Linked DNA regions of Pelodiscus sinensis. The protein of the gene in region 1 purifies or fractionates together with the protein of each later gene. This does not show direct contact. Links are inferred from orthologs where the notes say so. Each region holds a gene or a part of one and is shown on either strand. Other genes may lie near its edges. The genes, in order: AKAP5 and PRKACB.

The links.
Region 2: the proteins of AKAP5 (region 1) and PRKACB purify together in Homo sapiens (affinity purification with mass spectrometry; 4 studies listed by BioGRID and IntAct, counting the BioPlex papers as one, with this or other methods). This does not show direct contact. The link is inferred for Pelodiscus sinensis from reciprocal best matches to the Homo sapiens genes AKAP5 and PRKACB.

Annotation. Positions count from the first base shown.
Region 1 is NC_134714.1:15,758,920-15,767,513, forward strand, and holds the start of AKAP5 (A-kinase anchor protein 5), read left to right. Parts: upstream 1-5,181; 5' UTR 5,182-8,594. Other genes in the region: MTHFD1 (C-1-tetrahydrofolate synthase, cytoplasmic), read left to right, coding at 3,793-3,882. UniProt on the Homo sapiens protein: Multivalent scaffold protein that anchors the cAMP-dependent protein kinase/PKA to cytoskeletal and/or organelle-associated proteins, targeting the signal carried by cAMP to specific intracellular effectors.
Region 2 is NC_134719.1:29,277,923-29,286,180, forward strand, and holds the start of PRKACB (cAMP-dependent protein kinase catalytic subunit beta), read left to right. Parts: upstream 1-4,935; 5' UTR 4,936-5,031; coding exon 5,032-5,218; intron 5,219-8,258. UniProt on the Homo sapiens protein: Mediates cAMP-dependent signaling triggered by receptor binding to GPCRs.

The DNA.
Region 1 (8,594 bases):
GAAAACTAGTTTCTCTGTGCATCCTCAAAGAGTAATATTGTCACCATTCTGCTGTGGCCTTCCTGGGTTAGACTTTAATGAGACTTCAGTTAATTTTTTGTAGCTCAGGCATGCTCAACAATTTGATTCTTAGAACATCTTTAAGTTCACTGATTCCCCAGTAGCATAATTGCTACTTACAGACATGGAAACAGTGTTGGTGCCTTGTGAACAAAGCTAAATCATAGGCATTGTATTTAGTTTTCTCAAACTTGAGCTCCATTAAATTCATTAAGCTAGATCCAGACACTGTAAATTGTTTGTTTTGTCCGGAAGAAAAAATGATAGCAATAAAAACTGCATATAAGAAAAGAGGTGACATCAGCTGCAGGTGAGATCTGTCCAGGAGTAGAGTTAGAACCCCAATTTTCATTGGCACTCCAGTGAAATCGGGTTCTTCAGGTGTGAAATAGATTCCTCCTCAGAAAACACCAGTTGGAAATGAAACTTGGCAGGAAACTAAACGAAAACCTGCTGATCTCAGCTGCAAGAGAGAGGCCCACTTTGATGATTAAGGCAGGATGATGCTGAAGGTCTCCATAGTTGAGAGAGAACAGAAGATACTCTTAATGATGTTCAAGGCAATAAAGACAGACATACGTGCTGAACTAATTACTGTGCCAACAGAAGTGGCAGATTTAGAGAAGAAGGCTGATCATGGTGGGAATAAGATCTGTTGAGGAATCTGATGTTATCAGGACACTAAATGGCTGATGTAAACAGCACAGAATGAAGGAGAGGTACAAAACAGTCATGTCCAAGAAAATAACATCTGAGTTAAAGGAATCCCTGAAAATGTGGAGGGGAGGAATCTAGTCCTGTTTGAGCAGATGCTGTTAGAAGACCTATAAACGTGCTTCCTCTGAGTGTATGGGGTATGTAAAGCACTATCCCTTTTTGTTGCAAGTGGGAGTACTGTGTGTTTGGGACAAATTGAAAAGTAAATTGAGCCTTTTCCGATCATTTGATACATCTATTCCAAGCAACACAGAATTTAATCCAGTGACTTTTGGTGAGTTGGTGAACTATGGCATACGGTATCTTAGATCAAATGTATTAGGGACAGGGGTGTTTTCAGAAATTAAAGCCGAATAGAACTGGCTTTTTCTCCCATGGCATCAGTCCTGCATAGTCATACATTATGCTTTTCCAAATGTCTAAAGTACTTTTTGGGCAGGACATTAACTCTAATAAGAGACATCAGGATTCATAGGAAATTGTATGATTTTGGTCCTGATCCTACAATCCCCAGATCACTCTTCTGTATGCATCCACCAAACCCAAGCAACTGTAGAGGGGACACAATTGCAGGGTCCAGCTTTGGGGAATGCAGACTTCAGACTGTACGATTAAAAACCTGCTAGTAGCCTGTGCTGCTTGACTTGGGCTCAAGAGGTCAAGCACCTCACAGGGTGAGTCTAAATGCTTACACTTCAGTTAAACAGCCCTGTGTCTAGTTTTTGTGTAGGCGTACCATGAGATTGATCAGTCGTCCCCGAACTCTGAGGGACTTGAAGGAACATTCGGGGCACAGAGGGGATCAGGCCAACCCTCATGGGGAGGTGGGAAGAGAGTGCCAGCTAACCCCACTCTGCCCTAAGCTCTGCTGCAGCTCCCTGCCATGGTTCTGCAGTTTCCCCACCCCCAGCTGTGGGCCTTGCTCTGGAGTGTGGCTCTACTTCTGGCTTCAGCTGTGGCCCCAGCTTTGGCCAGGTCTCCCAGCCTGGCTGTGGCTCTGCACGTGGCCCCAGCTGCTCTGCTCCTGGCTATGGCTTCAGCCTTAGCCCTTGGACATAGCTCCACTCCTGGCCTTGCTCCCACTAATCTTGGCTCTCAGCTCTGGTCTCGGCCCCAGCCGTGGCTCCACTCCCAGCCCCAGCTCTGACGTGGCTGTTGACGGGGAGGGAACATGGATGGGGTAAGGGTTAAAAGTTTGAGGACCACTGCCTTTATAATAAAATGCTGGGCCAGATAAGTACTTTGATGTGGGTGAAATTTTCAAAAGCACTTGTGTGATCTAGGAGCTAAAGCCCCATGGACATTCAGTGAGATGCAGCTATCTGAATGAAAATAGGTTGTTACGAAGTGCTTTTGAAAATTTTACAATGTAATATCTAATAGGTGTTTGATTGTTGGGCCTTCTGTTGTTTGTTGTTTTGGGCTATTTTTAATCCTGTGAGTGAATTCAGTGCAGCTCTGTGGTTTATTTTGGGATAGCTAAACAGTGGTATCACTCTCTGCGTTCTTTGTTTTTGCAGTGCTTACGTTACAGAAAACACCCCACACCTTCACTTAATTTCCAGTGGCTGCATGTTTACACAAATACCCGATAGCTAACATCCCTATCAAATATCAGAGGGGTAGCTGTGTTAGTCTGGATCTGAAAAAGTGACAAGGAGTCCTGTTGCACCTTATAGACTAACATGTATTGGAGCATAAGCTTTCGTGGGCAAAGACCCACTTCGTCAGATGTATGTAGTGAAAATATCCAGATGCGGATGTAGTGGAAATATCTGAAGAAGTGGGCTGTGCCCACGAAAGCTCATGATACCATCTACATGTTTTGTTAGTCGATAAAGTTCTACCAGGCCATTTGTTTGCTGTTTTTTTTCTGCAACAGACTAATTGGATACCCCCTGAAGCTCAAAGACAGACAAGTTCAAATTAAAACATAGACACACATTTTTATACTGAGGATGATTAACCATCGGGGCAAACTGACAAGGGAAAAAGTAGATTCTCCATCTCTTCGGGTCTCTTAAGTCAAAATAGGCTGTCTTTCTGCATGATACACTTTAGTCAAACTTAAATTACTGGGCTCAGTATGGGAAGTAATATGGGTGAGGTTCTAAGGCTTGTCTGCTATAGGAGGTCTGGCTAGGAGATCTAATGGCTCCTTCCAGCCTTATACTCTATGGATTTATAAATGTTGGTGCTTGACAGCTGAACAAGTGATGGCGTTGGCTTGAGGAGACGTTGTTTAGGTCGATGTAGTGTGAGCTACCCTACTTTGGCCAGTGCACCTCTTGTGATCTAAAATGGCTCTCAGAACTTTCATACAGTTTAAAGTGACTGGCTGTTTTATCCAGTGGAACTGTCCCCTCGTCAGTTCAAGTCCAGCTTCTATCTTTTTAGTCAGAAAATTCCATCTCTTTTTAAAGCCAGTACTGGGCCAACTAGGTAGTGCTTTTAATCCTGGGCTCTCAGAGCATTTCTGAAATGTGTATATGTATACTGTGAGTGGGAGGTACAGATTCCAGCTTGAGGAGAGACAACCATATTAGCTTAATCAGATCTAGTGGGCTAAAAATAGAGTGTAAGCACAGCAGAAAGAGAGACTAGCCATGTTTCTCTTGGATAAGTAATGTTCTCATGATGACTACCACCATTCTATACTCTGTTCTAGTCGTCTCGCTCCTTCAGAGCCAGTACAGCTGCATCACTTCAACTGGAATTTTTGCATGCAGGTGAGGTGCAGATATACTTGAAGGCCTCACAACATTCCTGTGAGGTATTGAGATCCCTGTCTCACTAACGGAAATTGTGGCACAGTTATTGTCTCATGCAGTCAAACTTCAGTAGTTCCACTGAAGTCAGTGGAAATAGGCACATGCTTAAATTTCAGCGCATGCTTAAGTGCTTTGCTGAACCATTTGCACAAAGTCACACTGAGTCAATGGAAGAGCCAAAACCAGCTCACAACCCCAAACCCAGGCTCTGTCCACTAATATACTTTTCCCTTCTGTCCACCAGATGAGTACTATGCCAGGACTTCCTACTCGCCCCTGTTTCTATGATATAGACTTGGATCCAGTGTCAGAACAGGTGAACGGGCTGTTCTGAAAACAAATGTTAACCAAAGGTAAGTCTCTTATTTGAGCTAGAAGCCTTGCAAATATTTGGTTTATATTTTTCCAACTGAAAAGGAATATACTCAGATCTAATTATGAAGCTCTATGTTTTCAAAGGGCATTTGGTTGTAGTTCCTCCTAAAATTTGCCTTTGTTTTCTGTATATCTGTTGGTAATTAAGTTTTCATTTTTCTTTATAGCTACCAGAAGATTACTTGATGAGCAGTGCAAACTCAGTTGTATCCTGATTTAAGACAAAATAATATATGGCAATACCTGAAGTGACTGGGAGAAAGGGGCATTTGGAAATGAATGAACTATATACATTTATTTTTTTAATCTGAATAGTTTTAAAAAAATATTTTATTTCAGTCTTTTAGTTCAGTAAGGATAAGAACTTAAATCTTACATATGTGATGTTTTTTAATTATATTGCTTTCATGAACCTATTGCTTTTACCCTTCATAATGTCAGAGCAAACCTGTTTTTAATACCCTCTTCCTAGCTCTGTGATTGTTACTTATTAAAATGTAACAATAACATTATGGTTTCTTTATTGATATAGTGTTTACCACAGTCCAGGGCTTAATTGGTTGTTTTGAAATGTGTTTTAGAAAGTCTGTGCACTGTATCTTTCTACTGCATTTCATTCTATAATTCATTGCTAGCTCTAAAAGAGAAAATAGTGCCTTATCAGAGCATACTAATTAAATGAAAAGTAGGCAGTAGGGAAGAATGTCTTTGTTTCTGTTCTTCCCTGAAAGCTTTTGACCATTGGTTTCTGCTTTGCTTTGAATTTTTCTTGTGGGCACCTGTACTGTATCTAGTCTTCTCTTTAAAAAGCCCTGGGATGATCTATGTTTTCTCATGTTACCTACTGAATTGTTAATGGAAGTGGAACATACACAATTTGCCTTTTTTTGGAGACTAGCCCTGCATGCTATGTCTGGGGATAGACATTTGTTCTATATGCGGTTTTTAATAGCTATCTGATGAGCAAGGATGAATTTTGTAAATGATTAAACTATTTTTGGTTCTTGAAATCCCTTTTTTGGTGAACAAAGACCACACAAGCACTAAATCAAATAGCCTGTAATGGATTTGTCGCAATAGTCCAAAACATCATTTAATAATGTGAAAATGTAATTAACACAAATAAATTGCTAAAATCTTTCTAGGATTCCCTGGGTTTTAATATGTGCATTGAGATTAATGAAGTAAAAGTTTTATGATGATGAATTGGGAGGAATGTTCACAGCAGTGATCCCAGTATTGACAAGTAAAAGTGAATATTGCAGTACAGTAATACTGTTGAGTCTGCAGTGCTCCACTGTGTGTAGGTTTAATCCAGCTTCCTTTTCTGGGACGGCATGTCACCTGTAGGATAATAATTACCTGAATTATTCAGTGGATTTAGATGTACTCACTGACGACTGTGGTGAAGTGAGACAATCAATTCTTTTGATTTATCAATTGACTAGAATAACTTGCCCATGCAAACAGCAAAAAAAAATTTTGGATAATTGTTTCTACATAAAACTGCAAGGCCCATATGCTTGTGTTTGATCTTGACCTAACATATGTTAAAGAATTGCTCTGACTGGGAGAAGAGTTGATGTAGGTGTATGCACCAGTACACAGGCTTATCTGTGATACACACACACTATATATAGCAAGCTAGTGAGGAGAATAATTATGTAACAATTACATGGCTGTCACAAGAGTGAAGTTAGAATAACTTAAGTTGTCATAAGAGCCCCGAGTTGCATTTAAATTTTCCTTTATATAATATCATTCAGTTAGAACAGCTATTGCCAATCAATCTTCAGGGCATAAGCAGACCACTTGCATGAGGTCAAGAAGGATTGTCTCCCCATATATAACAGTGCCTCTGGCTAGCCACCTTAGGTGCTTCTTCATCTAAGGCAGTACTTCTTGAAGTGAGCTGTGGGCTTGCTTTGGCCCACGCCACTTTGTTTACCTTAGTCACAGAGCCTCTCACCTCCCATTGGCTCCAATTCACCGTTTGCAGACACAAGGAGCTGCAGGAAATGGCAAACTAAAGCCAATGTGAGGCTCTGTGGCTAAGGTAAACAAAGAGGTGTGGGCCTGCTAAGGCATATCCTGTACAGGCCACTTCTGGAACCAGAATAAACAGAATCATAGGCTCTGTCATGTCAGCTTCTACACATAATACTACTTTCTTCTCATGTCTGGTTATCTTCCATTCTACCAATTGTATCTTGTTCCTTTCATCTCCCAGCCCCCACAAATGCCCTTCCAGTTCTTTTGTACAGCCTTTATTTAAAAACCAGAAGCTTGCTATGTCCCTCTTGGACAAGGACTGGTTGAAAGTAATTTTTTTATGAGAGGTAGCCAATGTTAGTGAGAGTATCCTTCATCTAGTGACAGGTCATAGCATTCATTCTCCACTGAATTTGTGGATTTGAAGCACTACATGTTCTCATGCCCTTAGCTATCCTAAATGTTATGATATGTGGACAGATCCTTCTGTAACATGATCTAATGTCACTTAATTTTGCAAAATGTTGGCCAGCAGCATGGACTGAGGTAGGGTTTCCATGTCGTCAAAGCCTTTCTCAGAACAGAAATAAGCTTAACCTTTCACATCCCTAGTGGGTAACCGGTAAGCATCACCCTTAACATGTGATACTTACCAGTTCTGGTTAACTAGTGGGAGCTGGAGGGGAGGGGGTGCTTCAGCCTGGGCATAATGGGTAGGAGGGCATTCTTAAATGGTTAAACATGTTTAAATTGGTATTTTACATCTCTATACCCCACACCTTGTGTCACCAAGACCCTCATGCAAGCAAGAAAGCTTGCTCTGAACCATTGGTTTTGAAACCATGCCCATCCACAGCAATCTCTGATCCTCCGGCAAATTATTCCCTTTGCATTGTTGTCATGCTCTGAAGCTGGATGAGGAACAGTATTCCAAATACAGGGTATTTAAACTGGAAGTGATATACCTGAATTAGTGATCCTATGCCTTTGTTGCCTCATGTTCTCTCTAATCCTTATTCTTGCTGCCTACTCAATAAACCTTAGCACTAACAGGCATCACTGAGCTACAAGGAAGTGGAAATGTGTTATAATTTGAACCCAGATCCCACCCCAGATAATTATGAAGGGTATTAGACCAAGGAGTTTGTAGACTCACATTTGTGCCCTAACAAGCAGTAACCGTTTTTGAAATCAGGATCAGTGGGATGCTACTATGCTAAATGTATATTACTAAACCTACTGCATGAAAATGGCAAATGGAATTCCAAGAAAAATGCATCCATTATGAGCACTCTGTGCTTGCTTTACGTCTCCATCATCTTACTAGTGAGCATTTCAGCTAAGGACTGGGCTGGATTCTGTCCTGGGCCCACTAATATTACTCCATAATAAAAAGAGCTAATAGGAGGCTAAAAAGAGGGTTTTTTTAAAAAAAAAATCTAAGCCTTACCCGCATTAGGCAACTGTACAGACTGTGCAGCTGTTTGAAATATGCTCCTCCCTCTCATTTCTTAATTTAAAATACATGCTCTGATGAGTTATCAGTGGGCAGCAGTTAATCCCCTGTTGAGGCTAATGGGGAATTCACAGCTCTCGGAATGTGGTTTCATGTAGTGCATCAGTTGCACTTGATTCCTATTTGCAGGGCCATCTCAGCAACCCTACCAGCAGGAGATATACATAAGTTTGAAGCTTAGATACTAGAGCAGTGGTGGGAAACCAGCGGTCCCTCACAGTTCAGGGTGTGGTTGTTCACTAGTGCCCCCGTGCATGCTTGCCAGATTCTGCTGGTTTCTGTCCACATAGTTTTCCTATGGGTATTACTAAAGTGATGTGCACATAAAGCAAAGGTATGTGAAATGAAGTGCAGGCTGTTTGCACAGCATTGACTGTGAAAGACACCCATTCTCTCTGCATCCAAAGCACTGCTCCCATTCAGTCTGCGCACACTGCAAATTCTAGATATGCAAGCGCAGGGTAGCTTTGCTTACTATCCCAGGAGACCATCTTAACTATGACAATTTTGTGGCCCACAGCGATGAAATAGGACCATGATGCAGCCCACTTACTAATATAGGCCGTCCAGCCCTGGGCTGGAGAATGAGACGGCATCAAGGAGGGGATGCTGCAGATTGTCCTGGCTCATTCCTTGCCCACACTGGGAGCCAGGGTCCTGACACACAGTTCTGAAATAGCCTTTGTCCTATTGCCCAGCTTCGTGGAGGAGCCAGGGCTGCCGGTCAGGGAGGGGAGTGTCTCTCCCAGACCCCCTGCTTGGCACTGACATGGGCTGGGGTGCTAAAAGCAGCCCTTCCCTCCTGCTCCGTCCCCAGGGACAAAACTAGCCGCTGCTCACTCCACCTTGGCCTGCCCGGGGGGCGCGGGGCGCGTGGCAGCCCAGGGATGCTCCCCGGGGCAGGTGGGACCCGTCGCGGGAGGGCAGCGGCTCTGGCTGAGCGCGGGGAGCAGCTGGCACGGCGGGGCTCAGCAGAGCGCGGCTCCGGGCAGCTTCTGCAGCGCCCCCACCCCCAGCGCGCGGCGGGCTCTGACCAGGGCGCGTGGCCGCTCTGCGCCCCCAGCCTGCAGCACGCGCGGGAGGGGGCGTGACTGGAGCGGGGCGTGTCCCCTCCCGCCGGGGCTGGCTCGGGACCCCGCCCAGCAGCAGCAGCTCCAGCTCCA
Region 2 (8,258 bases), on another chromosome or scaffold:
GGTAGTGGGACCTGCATGGTGAGGGGTGGGGAGGGAGATAAAGTACAGGGCTGGCGGAGATGAGGGAGGAAGAAGGGACCCTGGCTGGTGGAGATAGGGAGGGGAAAGGGCCAGACTGATGCCTTGCATCTGGCCAGAGGGGGTCACCGGGGAACTGCATGGCAAGCGGCAAATCTCCGCCGCTTTGTAAGGAGGCAGACGAAGCCCTGGGAAACCCAGCCTCAAGCGGAGGGCGGAGGAGAGGGAGCGAGGCATCCAGCCAGAGGAGGTCACCGAGGAATGGCGCAGAGAACCTCTGGAGGCAGGGTAAGCCCTGCACAGCTGCCAGTGACCAGCCAGCTGGGGAAATTCAGCTGCCCGCTGCAAGCGGGGGGGGGCAGAGGAGAGGGAACAAAGCATCCGGCCAGAACGGGTCGGTGGGGAACAGCACAGCGAGTGAAGAACCTGTGCCGCTTTGCAGAGAAAGCCTTTCTCAGCTGCCGGCCACCGGCTGGCCCTAGGGAAAATCATGTTATTGCGGGGACGGGTCATGTTGTTTGAAAAATGTTCCCAAAAAAAATCATGCTATCACGAAAACGTGTTAAGCGGGCACATGTTAAGCGAGGAGTTACTGTATCAGTAAAAAAACGAGTGGTCCTGTAGCAGCTTAGAGACTAACATTATATATATATATATATATATATATATATATATATATATATATATATATATATATATAGTATCACTAGGGGGCTGTACTGCCTGCTTATTATACTTGCCAACCTCACTCTGTTGCAGCCACATCGTGGCCTCCTCTCCTGCCCATGCCTCAGCAGGAGGGGGACTACCACCAACCCTTCCTGCAGCCAGATGGTGGCTGGACCGCAGGCCCTACCCCAGTATTGGGGCCAGGGACAGGATGCGGTGGCCAGAAGGGGGTTAGGCCCCAATTGGGCAGGGAGTCTGGCTTGGCAGAGGGGGCAGGAGTAGGTTGGGGGCAGGGTGACGGCTGGGGATAGGAGGCAGGAGCAGGCAGGGAGTGTGAGGCTTGGCAGGGGAGGGAACGTGTGAGGCACTGGGGAGACAGGGCCAAGGCTGCAGGGGCTCTTACTTGTTTTCATGTGGCATGCTGCTTCCAGGCACCAGAGGCTTTACCTGCAGCTGTCTGAGTAGCGGGAAAAGCCTCCAACAAGTTCATAGGTGCACCAGCCGGGGAGGGGAAAGGGAAGCAGCAGTGCGCATGCTTCCCCGCAAGCCAGATCCAGCACAGAGTTGTGGGGCTTTCTCTCCCCTTTGACCCCCCACAGGAAGCCAGTGGAGTCTGGAGCGCCAGGCAGGCGGTAGCCCAAGCACACATCCTGAGGCAGGCAGCAGAAGTTCCCTGGGAGTTGGGGTAGGAGGTGCTGGGCCACGGAAGCCAGAGCTCAGAAGCGAGAGGCAAAGGGGGGAGCTGGAGCTGCCGCTTCTCCCTAACCCACCTGCAGGGGAACCAGGAGGCCAGCAAGGAGCCCAGGGGGTCCCCAAGGAGAGGCCAGGGCAGAACTCTGAGCCATGGCCATCTCTTCCCCTTCAGAGACTGCCAAGGCTGGGGGTGGGGGACAATGCAGAGTGATGTGATGATGTCACTATTGTCCCACAGGAAAATTTTTGCAAGAGAGAGAGACAGACACGAGGTTTTGTTTGCAAAACCCACTTGCTCAGATGAGCAGAGCAGAGTGGAGAGAAAAGGGGACCCTCACAGTTTGACAGAAAAAGAAGGGTGAGGGGAAAGGACCTATCAGTTGTAGTGCTGGTGCTAAAGAGGCTAATTGAGTGGACTGGAAGTGTCCCATACTAGGGATGCTAGTGAGTAGTTTACTACTTGACTAGTCTCTGGGGTGCCACCTACCCCCTTCCTCCGTTGTCCCTATCAGAGGTAGCAGGGTGAGGATAGGGGAGGCTACTCTGGCAGAAGCCCCTGTTCGCAGGGGTCTCATTGGGGAACTGGGGCCTGCCCGCAGACAGGGGCTGCTGCTGCCAAGCAACCCCTGTTTACAGTGGCTGGAGCAGACTCAGTTTGTGGTGGCTAGGGCTGGTCAGTCCCAGCTCCAGGAGCTACCCTTGCTATGGCTCTACAGAGTGCCCCTTATCGACTAATCTTATAGTTGATACAAATTTTATCAACTACATGATTAGCCAGATAACTGCAATTTAACATCCTTCTCCCATACTTAACTTTTTATGTCACTTGAGTGTTGAATGTTAGGAAAGCAGATTTTATAATGGCCCATCCAGTTAATGTCTTTGTTCAAGCCATGAGAAACAGCGTCAAACTTGCATATGAAGGCCAGTTCTGCACTCTCTCTGTGGTGTTGGTTTTTGAAATTTCTTTGTAGAATATTTTAAATCCATTAATGAGTGTCCAGGTAGATTAAAATGTTCTCCTGCGGGTTTGCGTGTATTGCCATTTCTGATATCTGACTTGTCTATTTATCCTTTGTTGTGTGTGTATATATATTAGGGTATGTCTACACTACCCCGCTAGTTCGAACTAGCGGGGGTAATGTAGTCATCCGCACTTGCAAATGAAGCCCGGGATTTGAATTTCCCGGGCTTCATTTGCATGAAGCCGGCCGGCGCCATTTTTAAATGCCGGCTAGTTCGGACCCCGTGCCGCGCGGCTACACGTGGCACGGACTAGCTAGTTCGGATTAGGCTTCTAATCCGAACTAGCTGTATGCCTCGTGGAACGAGGTGTACAGCTAGTTTGGATTAGGAAGCCTAATCCGAACTAGCTAGTCTGTGCCGCGTGTAGCCGCGCGGCACGGGGTCCGAACTAGCCGGCATTTAAAAATGGCGCCGGCCGGCTTCATGCAAATGAAGCCCGGGACATTCAAATCCCGGGCTTCATTTGCAAGTGCGGATGACTACATTACCCCCGCTAGTTCGAACTAGCGGGGTAGTGTAGACATACCCTTATGTATTTGGCCAATATACAATGCAGTGCCCCTCTCCCATGTACAATTGGTGGTAGAGAGGGAAAAAGTTGACCTTGACAAAGCATAGAAGAACAGAAGGTGGTTTCACCACAAGTGAGAGGGTGTAATCAGGTGGGAGGAGGAAGTATTTATACCCTGGGAAGTTCTGGAGAAGTCTTCTCTCACTGCATTAGATCTTAGTTGCCCGTGCCCTCCCACAAATGGATTTTTTCCTAATCTGCTATGAGTAACCTTTTTCTTAAGGGCTGGGAAGGGATTTTTCTCTCAGTGCCCAATTGGCCAAAATGGATTGTTCTTTTGTGTTTTACTTTACCCACAGCAGGTCAGGGCCTGGTAGCCTAGGCTAATTTGGGTCAAAATATTGCAACGTAATAATTAACAAATGTGGCAGATGTCCAGTGCAAGTATGTGTTATGGACGGGTACAGCGGAGAATGAATTCCCCCGCACCGTGTTCCTTTTCCATCTCCCTTAATTCTCATGGTGGGGAGATGGGTGAAGTCCCAGCAACAGGTTGATAGGGATCAGGTGCAGAGATAGAGGATTGATAGCACCTAAGGATGTAAACAGGTAACTGGTTAATTGGGCAGCTTCACACCCGGCCAGCCTCCTGGGGGGCATTCCAGCCCATCAAGGTCAGAGCAGACTCATGCTGTGGAGCCCCAGGGCTGGCCAGGATGGAGCACACCCAGGAAACAGTGTAATAGGTCCTGCTGAGCCCAACTGGAGCAGCCCCCACTGGGCTGCACCAGGCCTGCCATGCTGCAGGGACCAGGCGCCCCCTGCAGGGACCTGGCTGTATTGAGTTGCCCTGATTTACAGGTTTGGGACCCATCACAAAGGTATGAATAAAGACATTACCTGCCTAGCACACTACCTTCCACATCCTAATGACTTAAAAAAACAAACGGGTACTTAGAGCAGGTGCAAATTGTTTTTCTCAGCTTCTTGTAACATGGATACTTTTATTGACTTTTTCCCTCCTTTTCCCCTCCTTCTCCTTGCCCCCAGTCTCCTGTTTATCTTGGAACTGGACCTTAAACTCCATTCATCTGAAGAAGTGGGTTGTACCCTTGAAAGTTCATGATATCATCTACATGTTTTGTTAGTTTTTAAGGTGCTGCTATACTATTCATTGTCTTTTAAGTTTTTCCAGTTACAGACTAACTCAGCTACTCTTCTGAAGTGGTTAAACATCGTTTAACTGGTTAACATTTTAAATGGGATTTTGTGTCCCTAATAGCAGGCCTCCTAAATAGGTGGAAATGATTAAGAGGAGAACTATGATGATCACTGTACAACTTACTGCTAGATATTCCCAGATATATTAAATGTATACAATTGCAAGCTAATTACATCTTCTCCATTGCCTTCTGTTTTTCTTCTGGGATGGTTGGAAAATGGATATATTTCTTTATTAAGGACTGGATGTTACCTTACTCAGTAAGTGGCCCCACTGACTTGTTGATAGACATTTGGAGGAAGCTAAAACTCAGCATGAGTAAGGTTGGCAGAATCTGGCTTCTTGTTACACAAGAACTATTCTTTAGCTTACTCCATTATGGCTTTCTAAATGTAAAAGGACAAAAGTGGTAACTTTGTTAATTTTTATTTACCATAAAACATCATTTGTTTTAACAAGTTAACCTTCTTGCTTAGAAAATTGTACTGTTGTAAAAAAAATGTAGGGATACTTTTTAGTTGATGGATGTTTATGGGAGCTATTTTTAAATTTTATCTGTATTCTGATTTTTTCCTTCACTTTATATCACATGCAGTTGTGTATTTTCATTGTCATGTGTTTTTTTATATGAAAAAAGTTGTTAAACTCAGAGTTTAAGACAACTATTACAGCTCTTTTAACCGCCACCTTTAGCAGATACAACAGAGTTTTGCTAAGAAAAGCACCATAACGTGCTGTTTTGTATTAACAGGAAGCAGAACAGCAGTAGTGGTTAGAAACACTGCATTCAGGAAGTTTGACACATGCATAAGTTCCTAGCTTCTGTTTAAGTTGTTTGAGCTCCTTTATAGATTGTCTAATGTTTTTTAAAGTAAATTATCAATGAATATAGATGGCAGCGCAGCGGGAACTATCTTGTAACCAGTGCACAGGGACATCCACTGCTTTGCAGAGACTTGAAGGGTTTGCTAACCGACTTTTTCATAGGCACTCTAAGGGTAGTTTACAAGAACAGAAAGTGGCTCTGGAAAATGAGAGCCATCATTTCTCTGAACTTGCTGCCCTATGGGACAGATCAAGTAAGTGTACTGTAGATATTTAATATTCAGTTTTTATGGTAATTAAAAGATTTTATGTAGTAAATAGACAAAACTACTGTAAATTCTATCAGCCTTTTTATAGTGTAACAGTAAATGTAGCTTTAAAGCAAGAGCTATTGCAACATGCAGGTGGAAATTTGATACTCTTTCACAGGGACTTGGTGTCTGGTAACAGAGTTTCATATGTGAGCTTCCTTTTTCTTAGACAAGTGTTGTTAACTTAATTTCTGTGTTTTTTGTAAGCTTTTCTTCCCAGTATTCCAGATCTAAATTAGATAGTTTTAGCAACAGTAGATAATTTACTTGTTTAAAATTGTGGGTTTTCTTTGTCTTTAATTTTGGAAGGGTGGATATTATGTTATGCTGACTGGGGGGTTAATTACATGACATCTTTTAAAAAATTATAGTGTCATTTAATTTTTATTAGATATTTCATAATCCATTTTGTGGTAATTTGAACACTAAAACTAGAGCATAAATTCATTGTTTACTATTTCAGATTAATGCAGTGTATTAATTTTGATTTATACCACTAGTTATCTATCACTTTAATTTTATAATCTTAATTCGTGAGTGCAATTTTATTTATATTGTAGAAAATATGTATGATCAGAAATAGGGCTCAACCAGGTGCATGCCCCCCCTTACTTTCTAAAACACACAAAATATTCAGAGTTCATAATTCAAGCCAAAAAATAACAAAGTTAATGAGATCAAACTGGTTATCACTGCTGTGTACATACTCTACTGTAAAACAAATAAGTTATTTAGGAATTTGTGTCCAGCCTGGGGTTGGAGAGGGTGAGGCACCACAGAGGCCCCTTGCCAGCGCACTCTGGGCCCGGGAATGGGAAGGGGGCTGTGCAGTCCAGCTCCTGTGGTGTTCCCCAGTCCAAGGTTGGGGAGGAGGGGCTGTGCGGGCTGGCTGGGCGTGACCATGTAGGGCAGCCATGCAGTACTGGGGAATGGGGGAGGGGTTTGGCTGTGGCCCGTGTGGGGGAGGGGAGAGCGGGGGGGGGGAAGGATGTGCTGCGCATCCCTGGTGGCGCTTGTGGGGGGGAGAGTTATGATAGTGGGACCAGCAGAGCTTCTCCCTCTCCCCGGTGTAGTGTTGGGGGCTGGGGGGAGCAGTGGGGAAGAGGTGCCACCTTCATTGTCCAGCAAGAAGGCAAGCCCTGTCTCCAGCTGGCAACCTCCTTCCTGGTGCGGCTTCCCCAAGTGGTCACTCTGCAGTATAGCTGTTCCCTGTGCTCACTGCCCCCAGTGCTCATTCTGCAGTATTGTGTCTCTCTGAACAGCCCCCTCCTTTTCTATATAATGGAAAACAGTCAAATTCCAGGCACATCCTGTTCTCTTGCACAACCAAACCATGAATTTGCTTTAAGTTAGGATAAGAGAAAAAAGCTGCATACCAAATTTGGTGGTCTTAGCTGTTAATGTTTAGGAGGAGTTCTTAAACAAATGGACTCACAGAACAAGACACACAAATCTCTACTATATGTAATATATATAGGGGGGAGGGAGGGAATGAATGTATTGTCTTATTATTTGCTAGCACATTTACCCAGTGTTACTTGGGTCATAACATAAGAATGGCCGTACTGGGTCAGACCAAAGGTCCATCTAGCCCAGTATCCTGTCTGCCGACAGTGGCCAGCACCAGGTGCCCTAAAGAGGGTGGACTGAAGACAATGATCAAGCAATTTGTCTCCTGCCATCCCTCTCCAGCCTCTGACAAACAGAGGCCAAGGACACCATTTTATCCCCTGGCTAATAGCCTTTTATGGACCTAACCTCCATGAAATTATCTACCTTCTCTTTAAACTCTATTATAGTCCTAGCCTTCACAGCCTCCTCTGGCAAGGAGTTCCACAGGTTGACTACAGGCTGCGTGAAGAAGAACTTTCTTTTATTAGTTTTAAACCTGCTACCCATTAATTTCATTTAGTGTCCTCTAGTTCTTCTATTTAGGGAACCAATAAATAACTTTTCTTTATCGGCCCTCTCCACACCACTCATGATTTTAAGTAGGGTCATTAAGTAGGGGTTCAGGGAAGGGGGCTGGAGTAGTGGGATGGGGAGGTTGTAGGAGTCAGGACTGGAGGTATGAAGGGGCTCAGGGCTTGAAATTGGGGGTTGTAGGAGTCAGGGTTGGGTCAGAGGAGGGGCTTAGGGTGGGAAGTGGAGGGTGCAGAAGTCATGGCAGGGAATTGAGAGGTATGGGGGGGGCATATGTTGGGGAGGGAGAGGGGAATTGAAGGAGGTTCCCGGCTGCTTGGTGGGACAGAGGGAGCCATGCTGGCTCATCAACACATGAAAAACTTCCTAACAGTCAGCGTGATTAAAACTGGGATAAATGCATAGGGAGGTTGTGGAATTGCCATCACTGAAGATATTTAAAAGCAAGTTGAGCTAAACCAGGGGTGGGCAATAATTTTTTACTGGGGGCCATTTCAGAAATTTTTGAAGGGGCCCCTGGCTGCACCGGAAGGAGCAGGGCCTCAACTGGAAGGGGCGGTGTCACAAATCATTGTGACAGCAGGGCCACGATACTTCCCCGCTTTCCTACCCACAGATTGGTCTGAGGGCAGGGGAGCAGGTGAAGTCTTTGCTTCCCCCCCCCCTCCGCCCCCAGAGATTATCCCTAGGCACCAATGCCCCTGGCAGTGGGAGAAGACTTCGTGCACTCCCCCGCCCCCAGGTCCTAATTGGCCTGGGGGCGGTGGAGCAACAGGGCCTCTGCGGGCTGGATCCACCCGCTTGGCTGGCCGGATTCAGCCTGAGGAGGCCCTTTTGCCCACCCCTGATCTAGAGTCTCGCCCTACTCAACCAGTCTCTTACCAGTTTTCCCACTCCTCCGAGTTCATTCTGAAGTATAAACTGTGCCTGCTAGCAGACTCATCCCTTTGAATTTATGAGAAACAGTCATATTTCAGGCAAACCCCATTGTCTTGATACAGCTAAACACTTAACCTTGCTTTAAGTCAGGGCTACTCAACTTTGGAAGCCCCAGGGGCAC